Schizosaccharomyces pombe: one gene and its partners. Changing the gene in region 4 together with the main gene of any one other region gives a genetic interaction. Each region holds a gene or a part of one and is shown on either strand. Other genes may lie near its edges.

Region 1 (4,376 bases), on a different chromosome or scaffold from region 4:
AGGATCGGAACGGGATCTTCTCAATTTGATTTTAATGCTCTGCATGGACAAGCCTAAGGGAAAAGAGTCATGCAACAAGTAGAGAAATTTATTTCAACATTGTTGTGTTGGCGGTTTCTGTTTGCTAATCCTCAGCAACGATCATATGCAGTTGAGATCTCGACCAACTTTTCGTTAAATAATGTCAAAATTTGCAACAAATGTTTTATCACGGTACTCGAAGAATGTGAACTTAATGAAGTTTCTCATTTGGTTGCCAAATTGTGGTCACACATCAATTTTGTCGAAATAACCATTCCGATCCTGATTTCGTTCCATTTTTACTACTTTTTTAAATTTGGGATTAAGTTGAATTGGTCTGTCTTCCTACATCTTGTTCCATACCCGTTCCAAACTTTGACATAATTGGATGAAGCTGTCTTGTTTTAGATAGAATAATACCTTGGAGCGTAATTGCTTTTCCTCTTCAGTAAGTTCTGTTGGTAGGATTTGTGAAGTCGTTGGGGGTGATGGAATCAAATTTGCGTATGCTTGGTTCTCCGGTTGAGCAACCCACGAAGCCTGTGTCTGAGAGTTCAGCGGCGTAGCAGCAATAATGGGGTATTGTGAGTTTGCACCGTAAGAGTAGGCATTACGATTGGGATTAAAAGGTGATGAAGTTATCACCACGTTTTCATCCCAAGTGGGTTGTTGTGACGCAGTAATACTTTCAATTGATGTATCACTTCGAAGGGGCATTTGGGTCATGCCCGCATCCCCGCGGAATCGCTTAAGCGGTGGTGTATTGGAGAAGATTTCAGCATTTGGCATGACATGCTGCAGTGGTGCTGGATTGACATAGTTTGTGCTATTGTTCACAGCAGTTGTTGCTGTTTGGGTCATGGGGATATAACTCGGTTGTAATAAAAGATTTGGCTGTTGCGCCGATGACTTGTTATATGCATTGTTCATCAACGAAAGTTCCTGTGAGTTATTAGATTGACTTTGGGAGTTATTGAATTGCTTCTTCTCAGAGGAAGACTTTGCATCTTTGAACACCAGGCCTAGCTTCTCAAATTCAACTTTGGCTTTCATATAATGCACGTCAGATGGGAATTTCACTTGAAATCTTTTCATCACCTAAATTTATTAACAACAAAATACGCTTCATCAACACTCCATTTTTTTTTTTAAAAAAAGAGGCCTCAATGTGATTTTGAATAAATCTGCTTTTGTTTTACTTACATTATTAGTGAAAGCACGAATATTCATACACGGAGCGCGTGAAAGCAGAGTTAGACATTTTTCCTTCGTTCCCGGTATCAATTGGTGCCAGAGATCTAACAAGTTTATACTTTGCTGTTTGTTTGTTAAAAATATTGAATTTTTCTAGCAATATGGTTTCATGTCGCGTACAATTAATTCTTCGTGTTGACGAATTTGAAGCAATCCAGACGTTAATGAGAGTGTAAAACCTCCATCTGAATAATGTGACCAGTTGATATGGGAGGAATCTGTAGTATACGAATCCTCAGCTACAGAGTACTTAACAATTGGGAAAATGTTCATGTTTGTTTATGTTTGAATATGAGAAGACGCGTTAGACTGAACCTCATTTATCTGATAACGCAGTACGTTCCGTCACGGTGTATTACTTTTGTTTACATTTATGAGTTGACCTGAAAACGACTAGACTTTATGGAATGTAAGTCTTGTTATCACAATATATTACATATGATTGTAATTTGCCATAAGGAAACTATTTCTTCAATCTGTATTGAGGAATATCTGATTGTTCATTAATTTCTCAAGTCTCTTCAAACAACAGTATTTTGAGAGAAAGGAAATTTTATGAGCAGTTTCTTCTTTTACTAATCAATCCCTTTAAAATATTTTTATGCCTTCATTTCATCCTTGGTATCTACACTTATATAAAAATTTTAGGCATATTTGCCTGTTAAAGGGAAACGCAAGATACGGACTTGCACTGCTTTTAAATTATGCGTTTTTTCCATCAGAATGATATTTTTTTTCCTTAATATTATATTTCATCCTTTCTCCATAGGTTGGAAGGGTTGGCGAACTGCTTTGCCAATACCCAGACTTTAGTAGTGTCGTTTGTATAATTAATGAAAACCTAAAATGTGGACATGGAGAAACCTGTTTTAAAATATTAACATGCTCTTTTCACAATAGAAACTACATAATCATTATTGTTTAATAAAAGTTAGCATAACCTGCGATTTTACAAAAAAAAAAGGTCTTTTAGTCAGAAAAAATGAAACTCTTTCTCGTTTCATAACAATTTTTTAGTTCTTTCTTCTATTTGAACAATATTTTTGGTTAAATGTGGAAACGTCAATTAAACACCGTATATGCTGATTTCATATTCTTCGCACTTCCACTGCCCAGGTTTACAAAAATTTCCAAACTCCGTGTTAACAGGAAATTTGGTGCTAAAATCATACCTCCATTAATAAATAACATTAGAAAATTATTTACCATGAGCTTTGATGCCGAAAAACAATTAGCTATTGCTGCTGTGCGCAGAGCTAGCTATTTGACCGAAAAAGTGTTTAATCAACTTATCAAGGAGAAGAGTGCTGCTGGGGCACTTACTAAAGATGATAAATCACCTGTGACTATTGGCGATTTTGGTGCTCAAGCTATCGTAATCTCTATGTTAAAAGATGCATTTCCCAATGATCCAATTGTTGGCGAAGAGGATTCCGACTTTTTGAGAGAAAACACCCAAACCTGCTCTCGTGTTTGGGAATTAGTTCAAGAAACTATCCAACATGCTACTGAATACAAAGAGCTTGGTCAAATCAAGTCAGCTGAAGAAATGATGAGCATTATTGACCAAGGATCATATCACGGTGGTCGCAATGGTCGTATGTGGACTTTGGATCCCATTGATGGAACTAAAGGATTTCTACGTGGTGCCCAGTATGCTATTTGTTTAGCTTTGATTGAGAATGGAAAACCTGTGGTAAGTGCCATTGGATGCCCTAATCTTCCATATGACTTTAATCAGCCCGAGACAAGTCCCAAAGGTATCATAATGTCCGCTGTTCGTAACCATGGTTGCTTCCAGTATTCTCTCCATAACGAAAAATTAGAACCAGTTCAAGTGCACATGCAAGATGTTCAAAACACCAAGGATTCAAAATTTTGCGAAGGAGTAGAGGCTGGTCATTCAATGCAAGGAACTCAAGAAGAAATTGCAAAGTACTTAGGGATTACTCGTGGACCTACCAAGATGGATTCTCAAGCCAAATACGCTAGTCTTGCTCGTGGTGATGGTGACATCTACCTTCGTTTACCAACCAAAATGACATTTGAAGAAAAAATTTGGGATCATGCTGGTGGTTCTCTTCTTGTTGAAGAGGCTGGTGGTGTTGTTTCTGATATGTTTGGCAAACCTTTGGACTTTGGTGTAGGAAGAACTCTTAAGAACAATAACGGTGTTATAGCCGCCTACAAAGGTATTTTTGAAAAGGTAATTGAAGCTACTGCAGCTGTAACATCTAAAGACCCTCACTTTCAAAAGGTCGCCCAATAATCTGTCCGAAATATTCTAGCTTTAGGGCTTTATTTAGATTTTTCAGCATGTTAGCATATGCGTTATCGAGGATTCTACAAAAAATGTAATCTTGAAAATATTTACTTGCCATAAGCTTATGATTAGCTCCTTTTAATTAGATCAAAACAATTAACAACATGTTATATGTCTTTATGGATGACATATTTTATTTACCTTAAATTATGGATTATATAGTAGCAATGTTTAATTGTTCAGGTATAGTTACACAGGTCAGTATGAATAGGTTAATTGTATAGTTATTTTCCATATTACCTTACTATTTTACTTTTAGTATTCTCGTAAATTTACTATACGGTGGTGTTGATCAATTTCAAGGAATTTATGCCTTCAAGTGTGGTTTGGCTAATAACATGGACATGTTTTCTTAAAACGGTAAAACTTTTTAACAATTTTGATGAAACGAATATTGAGCTCATGATCCAAATTGGTATTTTGAGATCCTTCCTAAGTACTTTGACTTGCGCTACCTTGATTCCTGCTGAAAACGTTTGGAAAAGGCATGTAATAAAAGTTTTCTATGATAATATTTGAGACACCACATTTTTCGAAAAGAAATATAATTTTTTAACTCTTAGAACGGGTGATAATGTCATTTCCTACCGATATGGAGACAAATGAAATTTTGGATCAGTTAGACAAAATTGACGAAAGAAATGAAGATATTCTTTTAAAGTCTCTAAAAGCTTCTAAATGCACATATAAGCCCTGGAGCAGAGAAGAGTTTTTGAGACGATTGTTGACTTATAGAAGTCGGTGGGCTTATGTAAACGATCCTCAAATTGGTGAGATA
Region 2 (4,425 bases), on a different chromosome or scaffold from region 4:
GACCTCTAAAAAATCGGCAGAAATTTGTTAACAAATTCTATGCCTCGATCGTTCATTTTCTTACCGAAAGTATGCAGTTCCCAAGCCATAATGATAGGAGATTTGGGGATAATACTCCTCACTCATTAGACGAGTTCATACTTTTAAAAGAAATAAACAGAGGGGCATACGGTAGGGTTTATCTTGCTAAAAAAAGATCTTCAGGAAAGTATTTTGCTCTTAAAATGATTCCAAAATCCAGTCTTGATAGCTTAAAAAAAATAAAAGGACTATTGCTTGAAAAGCGTAACATGCATATCCAAAGATATGGACCAAACACAGTGAAATTATATTATGCATTTGATTCTGGGGACTACCTATGCCTTGTAATGGATTATTTTAATGGAGGAGATTGTGAAACACTTATTCAAAAATTAGGACCGTTACCAGAGCAATGGGTTTGCCAGTACGCAGCTGAATTACTAAATGCTATCGAGCTTTTGCATCAGGATGGAATCATCCATCACGACATAAAGCCTGCCAACATGTTGGTTGACGAAACAGGACATATTCGGCTTACAGACTTCGGACTGAGTGAAAACGTAGAGGAAAAAAAAGAGGTTTATAAGCTTACTAAGAGGATGTCATTTGAACAGAAACATGGAAATTTGTATGAGCAGCTTCAACCTAAAAAATTCGAATTTGTAAGATATGTTCGAAATTACCGCGGGAATATTGATGAGCTTGAGAAAGCGGAGAGTCCACAGCAAAATAGTGATTATGCCAATGACTCGGTCCAGCATTTACTTGACTTTGATATCAATAACATGGATGAAACAGCAATACACATGTTAATGAATCAGTTAGAGAAAAAGGAAAACCGGACATTCATCAAAAAAGATATTTCAGGGACGCCAAATTATATGGCTCCAGAAATTTTAATGGGCGTTGATACTCAGATGGGCGATATATGGGCGATGGGTTGTGTGATATTCGAAATGTTGACTGGCACGCGACCATTTGAAGCAAATACTGTAAAAGCAATATGGGCTCGCATAGAGAGAAATGATATTGGTTGGACTAAAAGAGTGAAAGAAAGCTGCTCAAAGGAGGCGGTAGACTTAATCACCAAACTCATGGATCCAGACTGTAACAAACGGCTGGGTAGCAATGGATACCAGGAAATCAAAAAACATCCTTTTTTTCGAACCATTAAATGGGATAATTTAAATAGTGGGCCAGGTCCGTTCGTTCCACAAACAGAAAATGTTGAAGATTTGACGTACTTTGAAAAAAACATAAGCGGTTCGGATAATATTAATAAAAATAATTGTCAGACGTCAGCAACTTTAATTCTAAATGGTATTTTTGCTTTTCATCCTCCTCCAAAAGCAACACCAGCTGACAGTGGTACTGAAACCTCAAACTCAGCTGCTTTCTCTGCGTCCGAGGAGGAGACCACAAATTTAACAGACCAAAAACGAAAAGATCTTTTTTCACTAATAACCAAAGCGTTTAAGGGAATAGACTTAAAGGCCCTTAATTACAACAACAAAGCCACGCTTTTGCGAATGTATGATGAGGTCGATTTCCCCAAAAATCAACAAAGAAATAAAGAGAAATTTCGAATTCAGAAACGACCTAACAAAAAGTATCGCTACCATTTATTTTAACATCATGTAAAACCATAGACATAACATGTTCGCTATCCAGAACGAATCATGATAAGTTGAAAAATGGTTAATTAATATTTCCATACAGAAACAGTAAAAAGACAAATAAACTTGTTCTACAAAATCTTTTATTCTGAGGCTTTAGCCAAATAATGCTTCTAACATAAGTTGATGTTTCCTCCTTGAATCCAAATATTATTAATAGTTGAATTTCATATATGAAAAAAAGCTATCTCATTTCACTAAACGTTTCAAAGGATGACATTTCCTATACGACAGAACATTTAAGAGGACTGAATAGTTTACGAATTGAAGTAAGTTAGAACAAAGTGTTTACCGCATATCTTTGAAAGCGTTAAATGATTTTAACAATATTTTTCGCATCGTTATTCAAGTAAGTATTATTTGACAGATTATATGATATACCTAACAATACTCCTTTATATCATTGATTTTGAACATTCGCCGAAATGTTTAGTTGGGCTAATATTGGGTCCAACGAGTATTTGCCTTTGAAAAATGATCGAAAGGCTTATTTGAATCAATGGGCAAAACGATCGGGACTAGCAATTGCCGCTATTTGCATTTTAGGAATTCTGATATTGGCAATTGTGAAATTATTTTGCTTCAAAGCAATTATTTTTCCTATCGTTGGAGGTTCCTTCAACAATGGGACCAATGTTTTTCAGTCCACTGTCATCGTAATCTCCTTGGATGGATTCCGTGCTGATTACTTATATCGTGGGTTCACACCTAATCTTCTGAGCCTGGCTGAACGTAATGTCCATGTTCCCTTTTTGATTCCTTCTTTTCCTAGTATAACTTTCCCTAATCACTATACTATTGTTACCGGTTTATATCCCGAGAGCCATGGAATCGTTAGTAACAACTTTTTTGATCCTGTAACTGGGAAGCAATTTGTCAACAGTATGCCTGAATGTAACAAAGACCCAACTTGGTGGGATAAAGGGGAGCCTATATGGGTCAACGCTGAGCGAAATAACGTTCGATCAGCGGTACATATGTGGCCTGGAAATGAAGTGGAGAATCATGGTTACAGACCTACTTATTCGGATGGTTTCAATTTTGATACGACTCTAAGAGAAAAGAAAGATAGAATACTCGAATGGCTGGATCTTCCTGATAAAGACCGCCCTCAGTTATTACTTGCTTATGCTCCCCATGTAGATATGGTTGGGCACGCATTTGGACCGGATTCGCCTGAACTGAATATCATAATTCAAGAAGTTGATATCGTAATTGGTGAACTAATTGAAGGACTGAAGAAAAGAAATATCGATAAGCATGTCAACATTATTTTTTTAAGTGATCATGGAATGGCGCCTACATCCGATAATCGTCTTATCTGGCTGGATAATATGTTTAATTTGTCTGCCGTTGCACACAGAGATGCTTGGCCGTTAGGAGGTTTTAGAGGAGAATCTGATTTAGATGATGAGTACATTTACGAAAGTCTTGTTAATTATTCTCGCTCGTCATTACCTTCTGCTGAGAATTGGAATGTTTATTCAAAGAAAGATATACCTTCTCGATGGCATTACTCAAATAATGAAAGAATAGCTCCCGTTTGGATGATCCCGGATGTTGGATGGTCTCTTGTCTCGATGCTGGATCATTCACCGGAGTTGGAGTATGAGCCTTTGGGTGTACATGGTTATGACAATTTGTCTCCAGTGATGAGAGCACTTTTTATCGCTTCAGGATCTTCTTTTAAGAATTTTAAGGGAAAGAAGCTTGCACCGTTCCAGAACACCGAAATTTATGGCATTCTTTCGCATATATTAGATTTACCAGCTCAGCCTAATAATGGTACATATGAAGGTGCTTTACCTTTAAGAAGAAATCGTAATTCTACTAAGGAATGGTTGCTGAAGGACATAGAACAAGCATACTCTAAGCTTATTTAATTCTGCTGTTTTATCACTATCTTTATATTTTTTAATATTTTTAATTTCCTTTAGATTATATTTAATACTTTTTTTTAATAAACGACTTTATTTGAATAGCAACAATAACTGTATTCCGATTTTTAAGAATCGTAAAAGAACATCACTTCTTCTATTTTTAATTAAATGATGGTCATAACTTTGGTTTCACTTTGGTACTGCTCATCCATGCAAATGTCTAGTGATTGTTAGCTTGTTCTTATACCTAATTCATTCCATTAATACTTACCAATTTTCGAGCAGCCTCCGGGTCCACCATAACATTTATGAGAGATACAGATGAGGTTTGCCATGCTTTCCTGAGGGAACTTCTCAAATCTTCTTCATTCTTTACAAAGAAACCTTTACCACCACATGCTTCGCAAATTTGATCATAACGTATACTAGTGCCTAAGGCAGTAGTCGGTAATTGGTGATTATCACGTAAAGTTTCATAAGCATCAGTATCTAATCCATGGTAAACACCATTATTATTGATTACAATTACCAAAAGATCCAGCTGGTTGCGTATGGCGGTTTCCAGTTCCATGGCGCTAAAGCCAAAAGCACTATCACCCTCAACTACCACTATTTTGTCGGATGAATGGGCAAATGCGCTGGCAATAGCATATCCCATACCAACTCCCATTGTTGACATAGTGCCTGCATCCAGTCGACCACGTGGATGAGTTACTTCTAAAAGCTGACGGCCCCGGTCCATTGTATTGGCGCCTTCAGAAACCCAAGTGATATTACGCTTTGATTTGAGCGATAAGCTTTGTAGCTCCTCATTCACGACATACAAAGCATAATTCATTTGCAACGGT
Region 3 (4,700 bases), on a different chromosome or scaffold from region 4:
CATTGTCGTTCGTCCTAAAATCAAGTCATTCGTTCTCGAACAGTTGATCTTTCAGGCGTTGTTTTCATTTGCTATCAATTGGACACCAAGCTTCTTTTTGAATCACTCCAATTTTGAGAATATTGCGTTGAGTAAAGAAACGTTTAACTTTGGAGGTGAAGCCAATTGCGAAAATACGGACACCACATTATTTACTACTTGGGGCGATCAAGGTTTTAGACCAAGTGATTCTATTTGCTATAACGACTTTAATTTATTGGAAACGGCGAATTCTGATGCTGAAGCTTCAATACATGAACTCGAACTTCAACCGCTGAATGCAGTGAATGAAAGAGAGGTTGATATATCGCAAACCGACATGACTCCATCCACGGCGTTAGACACTAGGGTAGACACTAGGGTAGACTCTTTACCAGAATTTTCAAACTTGATACTTTCGCCCTCAAGCAATGACGACAGTTTTCAACTTGACGACTTGTTGTCCCCCTCTTCATCAAATCTCAAACAACAGATTCAAAAAGTCGTTCCTCAAAATTCCCTAGAATTTTCTGTTGGTGAGAAAGAAAAAAAGGCAGCCGAATATAGCCTGCTTCATACGTTTTCTTACAAACGACTCTCTATGGAAAATGAGAAACCAGATACTACAAAGGTACCTTTAAAATATAACATACAACATGAAGAAATGAAAGCGTATCGAAGAAAAAATGATTTAGAATATATAGATCAGCACTTTGCAAGCTCTAAGAGTGGAATTTCGAATGGGAGGAATAATAATAAAGAGGTCAACTTAACAAAAGCTGAAAATGTCGGCATCAAAAAACGTCGAATCATGAAAAATGAAAATAACATTTATGATTTTGAAGATCACTCTCCTGTTAGGGAAAAATGGGGGCACAGGCTTCGGTCCAGAGGTGCTAGTTAAAGTACCTCGGCACTTTTTATTTCCTTCGGCTACCATTGAATATTTATCCCCACGTGCTTATGATTCTTGAGTAGTTCACATTTTATGAGTATATCATGAAGGTTTCATCAAATAATTAAGACTCTTTTTTTTTCTATTAATTGGGTTTTTATTTATAAAACGATTAAGAGCATCAATCCACTTTGACTCGTTGTTTGCTTTTAAACTACGATCGTCCTAAAATGATTTATGGACTACATAACACACAATGGAGTCATTGAAAGCGTGGACATCCCCATGAAGCGGCGCAGGGACACTCAACCTGAACGGATTGTATCAAAGCCGGATACTACAACACACTTTTTAATATGAATGTCTCCTATTGGCGTCGTCTCGTCTACTTTATCCATCTCAGCTGATGCAACGACGCTTCAGGGTTTTCCATCCAAATCCCAATTTACCAGCCTTACTTTTTTATAATGTGCTAATATTGTTGAATTGTGCTCAAATATGTACATATACTACCCGATATAATGATTCTATAAATACTCTTTTTCTGTTTTTTTTTTTGGAACTCATATAAATAAATAATCCGGCGATCTAACTACAAGCCACGTTTCTATTAATCTAATCGGTCGTTTCATCTTTGAATATTATTTAATTAATTTATTTTCCTATTTTAATTGTTAATACTACTAGAAACAATGGTAATATTCTAGATTTCTATTATCTTAAGATTTCCGCATTGCAACCTGCTAAGTAATCTTATCAATGCGTTAGAACGCGTAATGTTATTTTACATTTTACGGTCCGCAAGCTAAAGCATGCACTATGTATTCATTGCCATACGCGAGCAATGTACCCGGCCTTAACAATACAGTAGACGGATATTGGAATTCAAGCGGAATTGAATATTTCTGCTTTGAATTGACTTAAAATAATGAATGAAGATGAAACTTCAATTTTAAATAAGAAAATGGAGAAAATTGAGGTAGAAATGGCGGAATTTGAACGATTGGGCGCTGAAAGAGAGAAGGAGGCGGTCGAAAGAATTGTTCAAGAGGAAAATCAAAATCCTGAAGTTCCATCGAACGATGACGCGTCCACAGATATTAAATCGCGAAAAGAAGGAAATATGAAAGTCACCGCCGAGGAAATTGGTTTGGAGACTGAGAACTTTGATGAGCTACCTGTAAGTAATGGATTTGGTGTAAGCCGACGAGAAACCCATTACGGTAACAACAGGACGTATTACAAAAATTCTCAAGGATATCGAAGAAAACCCAAGAGAGATGATTATAACAATAACCGAAAAAACTTTTATCCTCCTATACAAAATTCTACATATTTTATAAACGCTACCGGGGGAATTGACTCCATGCCATATTTTGGTTTAAATAATGCTCCCGGCAATATCTATCCCTTCTCAATGTATAAACCTTTGGAAGCGGATCCGCAGTATTTATCTGTTCCCTCATCCATGCCTTCCAGAAGGGAAGCTGGTATGGCTTATGGATATCAGAACTACAAACGAGGTGGTTATACTCCTAATACGCAGTATTTTGAGGAGCCTCTTAATAACACCTCTTTTCCTAATTCCCAAGGGAAAGAGGGAAAAAATTCGGGGTATCGTAAATCGTCAAGGATCCTCGATATCCGTGTAAAGTTTGGAAACTCTTCTATGAAAGCCATCAATTTTCAACCTAAAAAGAAAATTGTCCATGTCGTGCATAATCCCCGTCTCCATCAGAACAAAGTTCTTCGCGTCAGTATACCTGGATCCCAACCAGCACTGGTTACACCCAAACATAAAATGAATGTTCCTCCTATGGGAATGTATCCCTTACCTTTCTCCCCTTTACCTTCTGCAGCTCCGCCTATTCCTTTTTCCCCTAACGTCTCTTCCCATCCACATATGGCTTTTCTTCCAGCCACTGTACCAACTCATTCTGCTCCTCCTGGATTTGTCCCTTACGATTTTCCTATTACAAATGACAAAATGTATCCTTCACCCTCATTTCAAGAGGAATTTCCATCAACTTCAAAGTCCCCTTCGGCCACACCGGGATCTTCTAACGCTCCTGTTGTGGATATGCATCCTAGCGCTGATTCCGCTACGTACCCTACTTCCATATATCCCTCTAATGTACGTGCAAGAGATGATTCTCAGCAAGCTTATATTTCTGCGAATATGACTACCGGTGAAATGCCATCCATGACCAATGTTCCCGCTGGTAATGCACCTGCAGCACCGGGAACCATGTACACAACCCCTTTACCTACTGCCAATAGTCCGATTGCATATCAATCCTACTCTGTTATGCCGACTTACTGGTCGTTTCCTCAAAATTATGATTCCACCGTTCCCGCGGTCTATCCTTATATGCCTCCTCCATTTTCTGGCAGTGATATGAATGTAATGTCCAATCCTGCTGCCGATACTTTACGATCTTATTCACCTGCTAGTCAGGTCTCAACTCCCCCCTTCGGTTTCGTTTATTACTATGACCCAAATCAGTATTACGTACCAGTTAGTAACGAATCAGCCAATGCTACTAGCCAGCCGTTGTCTAACTTAGACACTGGAGGCAGTGCGCCTTATGACCATATTTGATGGGTCAATGACTTATTGTCTTTTGTTAGAATGATTTTTATCATTGAGCTTTTAAGCATTTTGATTTAATTATGTTATGACCAGCATTTTTGTTTTGGAAAATGACCGGCAATGCCTATATCCTCATATCTTCGTCTTTCCTGTTTTCTTTTAAAATCCACTCTACATACCGATTAGGCATCGTCGACTAAAAAAGAAAAAAGTCATTGGTTTTATTCAAGAAAGCACATGATCCGGTTATCTTCTTAAAATTTAGCCGGCATTCAACTTATGCTAATGAAAATAAAATATGTTATTATCATTTTTTTCATTGTTTTGAACTATAAGCCTAAAACGATGAAACTTTTGTAACAGAAATAAACAAGAAGACTCCGTCTTCAATATATACAAACTTTTTTTTTCAGTTCCCCATGTATTATACTTGAAGAAGCTTCAAATGTCAGATAATTCTAATGAAGTAGCAATATTTTTTTTATCGGTAGCGTTCTTCGTTTATGTTTTAGCTGACGAATGCTTGATAGACGAGGCACTCCTAACAGCAATGAAACATATCAAACTGCTTACGAGTTTAATAATAAAAAAGTCAATCGTGCTTATCGAAATTCTTTTTCGAATAGTCTTCAGGTGGAGGAGAGGCAGCGAGAGCTGAATAAGGAGAGTCGATTTCCGCATCATAAGTACCGCGGGTGTTTTGGGGGTTTTCGGAATATACATTTTCATCCAAAAAGGATTTAAGTTGTGTAAATGATTGCTTAGCACCTTCCTGAACGTTACTAGAGAAATTATTAATGGCATTCATGTAATCCTTCCTTGTTTCGGGATCTTGAACCTAAAAACAGAGTCAGTACAACAGAAACTTTATTTTTTGGATACAATAAAATGTTTGTACCTTTGTAATCCCTGGCTGAATATAGGACTTATTTACGTCTTGAATCTGTTGGGAAACAGATCTGGAGAACATGTTCCAACCATGACTAAGTGCAGAAACAGGATTAGATGATAATTGGTCCAAAAAAGAGCCACCGTTATTTCTAGCAGAAGAATTGGGATTAACAGAGTTAGAGCTTCCAAACCCTTGATAGCGACCTCCTTGTGAAGGGGGTAAATCATCAGGGCGTTGGGAATTAATGGAACCAAGCTTTGCAAAATATTTATCATTTGCTTCTTTTGAAACTGATGGAATAG
Region 4 (3,465 bases):
CTGAAAATGAAAGGGAAAAAAGCATGAAGCAATGTTACAAATAAATGTATAAGAAGGAATTCCTGTATTAGAAATTATATTACATTTTCATATAGAAATGATGATTTATGGTCTATTGATGTTTTCATCGTTAGTGCTTCCCATGATAAAAACAAATAAATTGCCATATGTTGAATCCTTCAGATTTTGAGTAAGGCTGAAGATGAAATGTCGCAATAATTCATAACTGTAATACTACATAAAGACTTTGATTATTGAGTTTAACTTTCATACATTTATTGCATTTTTAGCAAATGCAGTAGAACGGGCTTTCAAGAGATACAGAGGAAGAAAAGCGTAAGGGAATTATAAACTGGAATTTGTAAACATCTCTTGGAAATTATATCAATCTTGAATATTGGCTCATCATTAAAAATCATAGTGGAATACTTGGTTGTTATTCGAGTAGTTAGTCAGAAGTTATTGTTTTGATACACATAACCTTACTTGAATAATGTTACAAAAAAGAAAAATTATAATGGAAATAGATGAATCTAAAACAAATTTAATTTTTAAGCGATAAAATTGAAACAAACATTCGTCAACAAACTACTCTAAAATTTCACCTGCTACTAGTTTTACTACGAAAACGTAATATACTAGGGTTTCACAAGGTAAGTCATACATTCTAAATTTCTCCTTCCAGCATTTTGAAAATATCTTCTTTGCTCTAGACTTTGTTAAATACAGATGTAATAATATATGTTAACCACAAACTGCACCTACTTGACATGTGAATGGATGATATCTAAGAGGTGAAATTCAAATCTAAAGTAATGTTATGCAACATCTGTTAATTGTGTTTGTATTTCTTCTTAAAAATAATTACACATTTAACACGAAGCCATGAAAAGCGTTAGAGGTTTCGCCTCTAACTGATTTAAAAAGGAAACCCAAATTTTTTCCCTTCTTAATTTATGTAAAAGTATTGAGAAATACCTAGTTATAAAGATGAAATTTCGAATATTTCAAATTTCATATAAAGAAAGATTTCTTTACAAGAAATGAATGAGTTTTAAGAATATATTCACAACAAAGCATTTGATAAAATTGATTTATTAAGTATGCATTGAAACATTCTAATGAGATTTTTTAAAGGAAACTGCAAAAAAATAGGGCGGTATATATGCAACTCGTTAAAGACGAGTAGTATAAGAATTGCTTCGCTTTCTTCAAAGACTAAATATGGAAAAAGAGTGGGGGATTACTATATTAACAAGTTTTCAGAACAGAAACAGAAACAATTACAACTATCTACAACCGAGAATCTCTTTAATTAATGTTTTCCAGTTCAGTCTGGTTGAAGATTCGTTTTTTGGCTTCTAAGTTAAAATCCAAGTAAATAACTGACGGGTATTTTATTTTAGAATAAATCGATAGGAATCCGAATCGTTTATAATATAATAAACGGGATAAAAGCTACTCATATTGCTAATGATAATCCAGTAGGCATACTACGACTGAAGAAACATAATTTTTTTTCGAATTTTTCCTTATCTAATGGAACCAGTACCATTTCGTGAATTAGCAGATTTTCATTTGTTTGTTTTGGCCTCGTTATTCAAATTCAATAATGTAATGGAAGATTTTCCAAGAATAATAGACGTTGATAACAATGGGTGGGAAACCGCAAATTTTGTTTGAAAATCAGAGGGAAGATCTACACAACAAAAAGAGCAACAAATTTGAGCAGTAGAGAAAAGACCAAAAAAGCGTGTGTTTTCTGAGACAAATGTGTCACAACTCGCCGATAAATTCGCAATCACATAAAAATTGGTATTCGTTATTGACTAGTGGGAAAACCACGTTACCTCAACGATTTGCAGTTGTTACCACTTTTGGTGACATTTCAAAAAGAAAAAGGTGATTTGCAACGTTTGAAATTGCGACGATCATGATCTACGCGAAAATATCTCATTTTATATATGTACGAGTTAATCTATTTTTGTTGCTGAAAAAAGAAAAAAAAAACTATATAAACCGACTAAAATCAAACATTTCTTTACAAACATTCAAAAGATATTTCCATATGATTTTCAAAAACTTAATATCTCTCTTTTTCATTGGGCTCGCTACCGCCATACGCTTCAACCTCACTGATCTTGAGTGTAGTAGACTACGCGGTCCGCATTGTGGTACGTATCTACTGAAAGTAGTAGGAACGAATGCTACATACGTTGGTGAAAAATCATTTATAGGTCTTGATGCTTTGACTGAAAGTAAAGGTGAATTTTTTCAGCGTATGTTGGAACAAGAACCTCGACTTATTCCACGTTTGTTTACGATAGCTGAAAACGACACGGCCAACTTTACTCCCTTGACATTTACAACGTATTTGAAAACATGCAATCCTCAAAGTATTGAAAATGCAATGATCCCTTTTGTGAATACTGTTACCAGTGAAATTTCTTTTGATGCATGGGCGTATACAGCACAAAATTCAAGTCGGATAACGGGTCTTAGCAACCAACTGATGAATTCTACTCTATATAATGTTCAAGTAGCAACATGTACTCCCGGATTCTCTGCGTTATTGTTAGATAGTCCTACAATCAATGTTTTTAATAACGAGGAAGGCATGCCAAGTTGGTGTCAGCCCATTGAACTTATACCAGTTTGTCCTTTGGATGAGGGATTCAACTGATATATATATAATCGTTATTTAAATCGTGGGATTTAAAAATAGGGGTTAAATTTATCCTCTAAAAACATTTAATTAGAAACGCTTAAGCAATAAAAGTCTTTATACTAGATAAAATATTGTAAATTGTTTTTTTTATTTTTTTTTTTTATTTTAAACTTATACTAAACATATTTTCTAACAAATAACGGAATTCATAAGTATTTTGATTTTGTTTATGTGTTTTTCGCTTTTTATTGTGTTTTAATGGTAAGGAAAAGTTATAGCATACTTCATTTTACTAGTGAAAAAAGCATAACAGGAAATCTTTTAAGTTAGCGACAAACAGTTACTCGGCTTCCAAGCGGTTGCAAATCATTCGTAGTAGATCGACAATCTTGGAATGAGTCTATCAAACAAATCCGCGCTAGGCAGTACGCTAAAATGAACAGCAACACATTTGATTTTACCGAGTATTGAGTATTCTCATCGTCGTTATAACCATTAACGGATTTGTACGTTTTGTTTATCTTCACAGAGCCAAGAGATCAAAGAAGGACTGAGGTGCGTTAAGTACGGTCCAACATGTAATTATGTTCTTTGTCACAAATTAGAGCCACAGATCCTAAAAGTCTAAAATACGAGACAAGGTATGATTTTTCAAACTGTCCCTAGAATAAGAGTTGATCAGCCAAAATTATTGTGCAAGATGAAGCTGTAAGGCTAACTAAAGACTAATGATTCTATAAATAGAAAACATAAAACATAATGCTGAATAAAATGTTATAAGCTACTGAGCTCAAGTC

Evidence for each region.
Region 1: mutations in SPOM_SPAC977.05C (region 4) and tol1 together harm fitness less than expected from each alone (positive genetic interaction), as found in Schizosaccharomyces pombe (one large-scale study listed by BioGRID).
Region 2: mutations in SPOM_SPAC977.05C (region 4) and npp1 together harm fitness more than expected from each alone (negative genetic interaction), as found in Schizosaccharomyces pombe (one large-scale study listed by BioGRID).
Region 3: mutations in SPOM_SPAC977.05C (region 4) and SPOM_SPCC622.15C together harm fitness less than expected from each alone (positive genetic interaction), as found in Schizosaccharomyces pombe (one large-scale study listed by BioGRID).

The regions. Positions count from the first base shown.
Region 1 is NC_003421.2:1,547,522-1,551,897, forward strand, and holds tol1 (3'(2'),5'-bisphosphate nucleotidase/inositol-1,4-bisphosphate 1-phosphatase), read left to right. Parts: upstream 1-2,382; 5' UTR 2,383-2,482; coding exon 2,483-3,544; 3' UTR 3,545-3,876; downstream 3,877-4,376. Other genes in the region: meiotic recombination protein Rec7, read right to left, coding at 367-1,119, 1,225-1,338, 1,396-1,548; zinc finger C3HC-type containing RNA export factor Rsm1, read left to right, coding at 4,173-4,376. UniProt on the Schizosaccharomyces pombe protein: Phosphatase that converts adenosine 3'-phosphate 5'-phosphosulfate (PAPS) to adenosine 5'-phosphosulfate (APS) and 3'(2')-phosphoadenosine 5'-phosphate (PAP) to AMP. May regulate the flux of sulfur in the sulfur-activation pathway by converting PAPS to APS.
Region 2 is NC_003423.3:1,210,050-1,214,474, reverse strand, and holds npp1 (nucleotide pyrophosphatase), read left to right. Parts: upstream 1-2,083; 5' UTR 2,084-2,122; coding exon 2,123-3,580; 3' UTR 3,581-3,684; downstream 3,685-4,425. Other genes in the region: serine/threonine protein kinase Ppk31, read left to right, coding at 1-1,652; 2-hydroxyacyl-CoA lyase Hac1, read right to left, coding at 3,753-3,797, 3,849-4,425.
Region 3 is NC_003421.2:1,427,921-1,432,620, reverse strand, and holds SPOM_SPCC622.15C (uncharacterized protein), read left to right. Parts: upstream 1-1,771; 5' UTR 1,772-1,841; coding exon 1,842-3,515; 3' UTR 3,516-3,878; downstream 3,879-4,700. Other genes in the region: Jmjc domain-containing protein Epe1, read left to right, coding at 1-922; SPOM_SPCC622.14 (GTPase-activating protein), read right to left, coding at 4,099-4,344, 4,405-4,700.
Region 4 is NC_003424.3:34,986-38,450, reverse strand, and holds SPOM_SPAC977.05C (Vel1p domain-containing protein), read left to right. Parts: upstream 1-2,068; coding exon 2,069-2,683; downstream 2,684-3,465.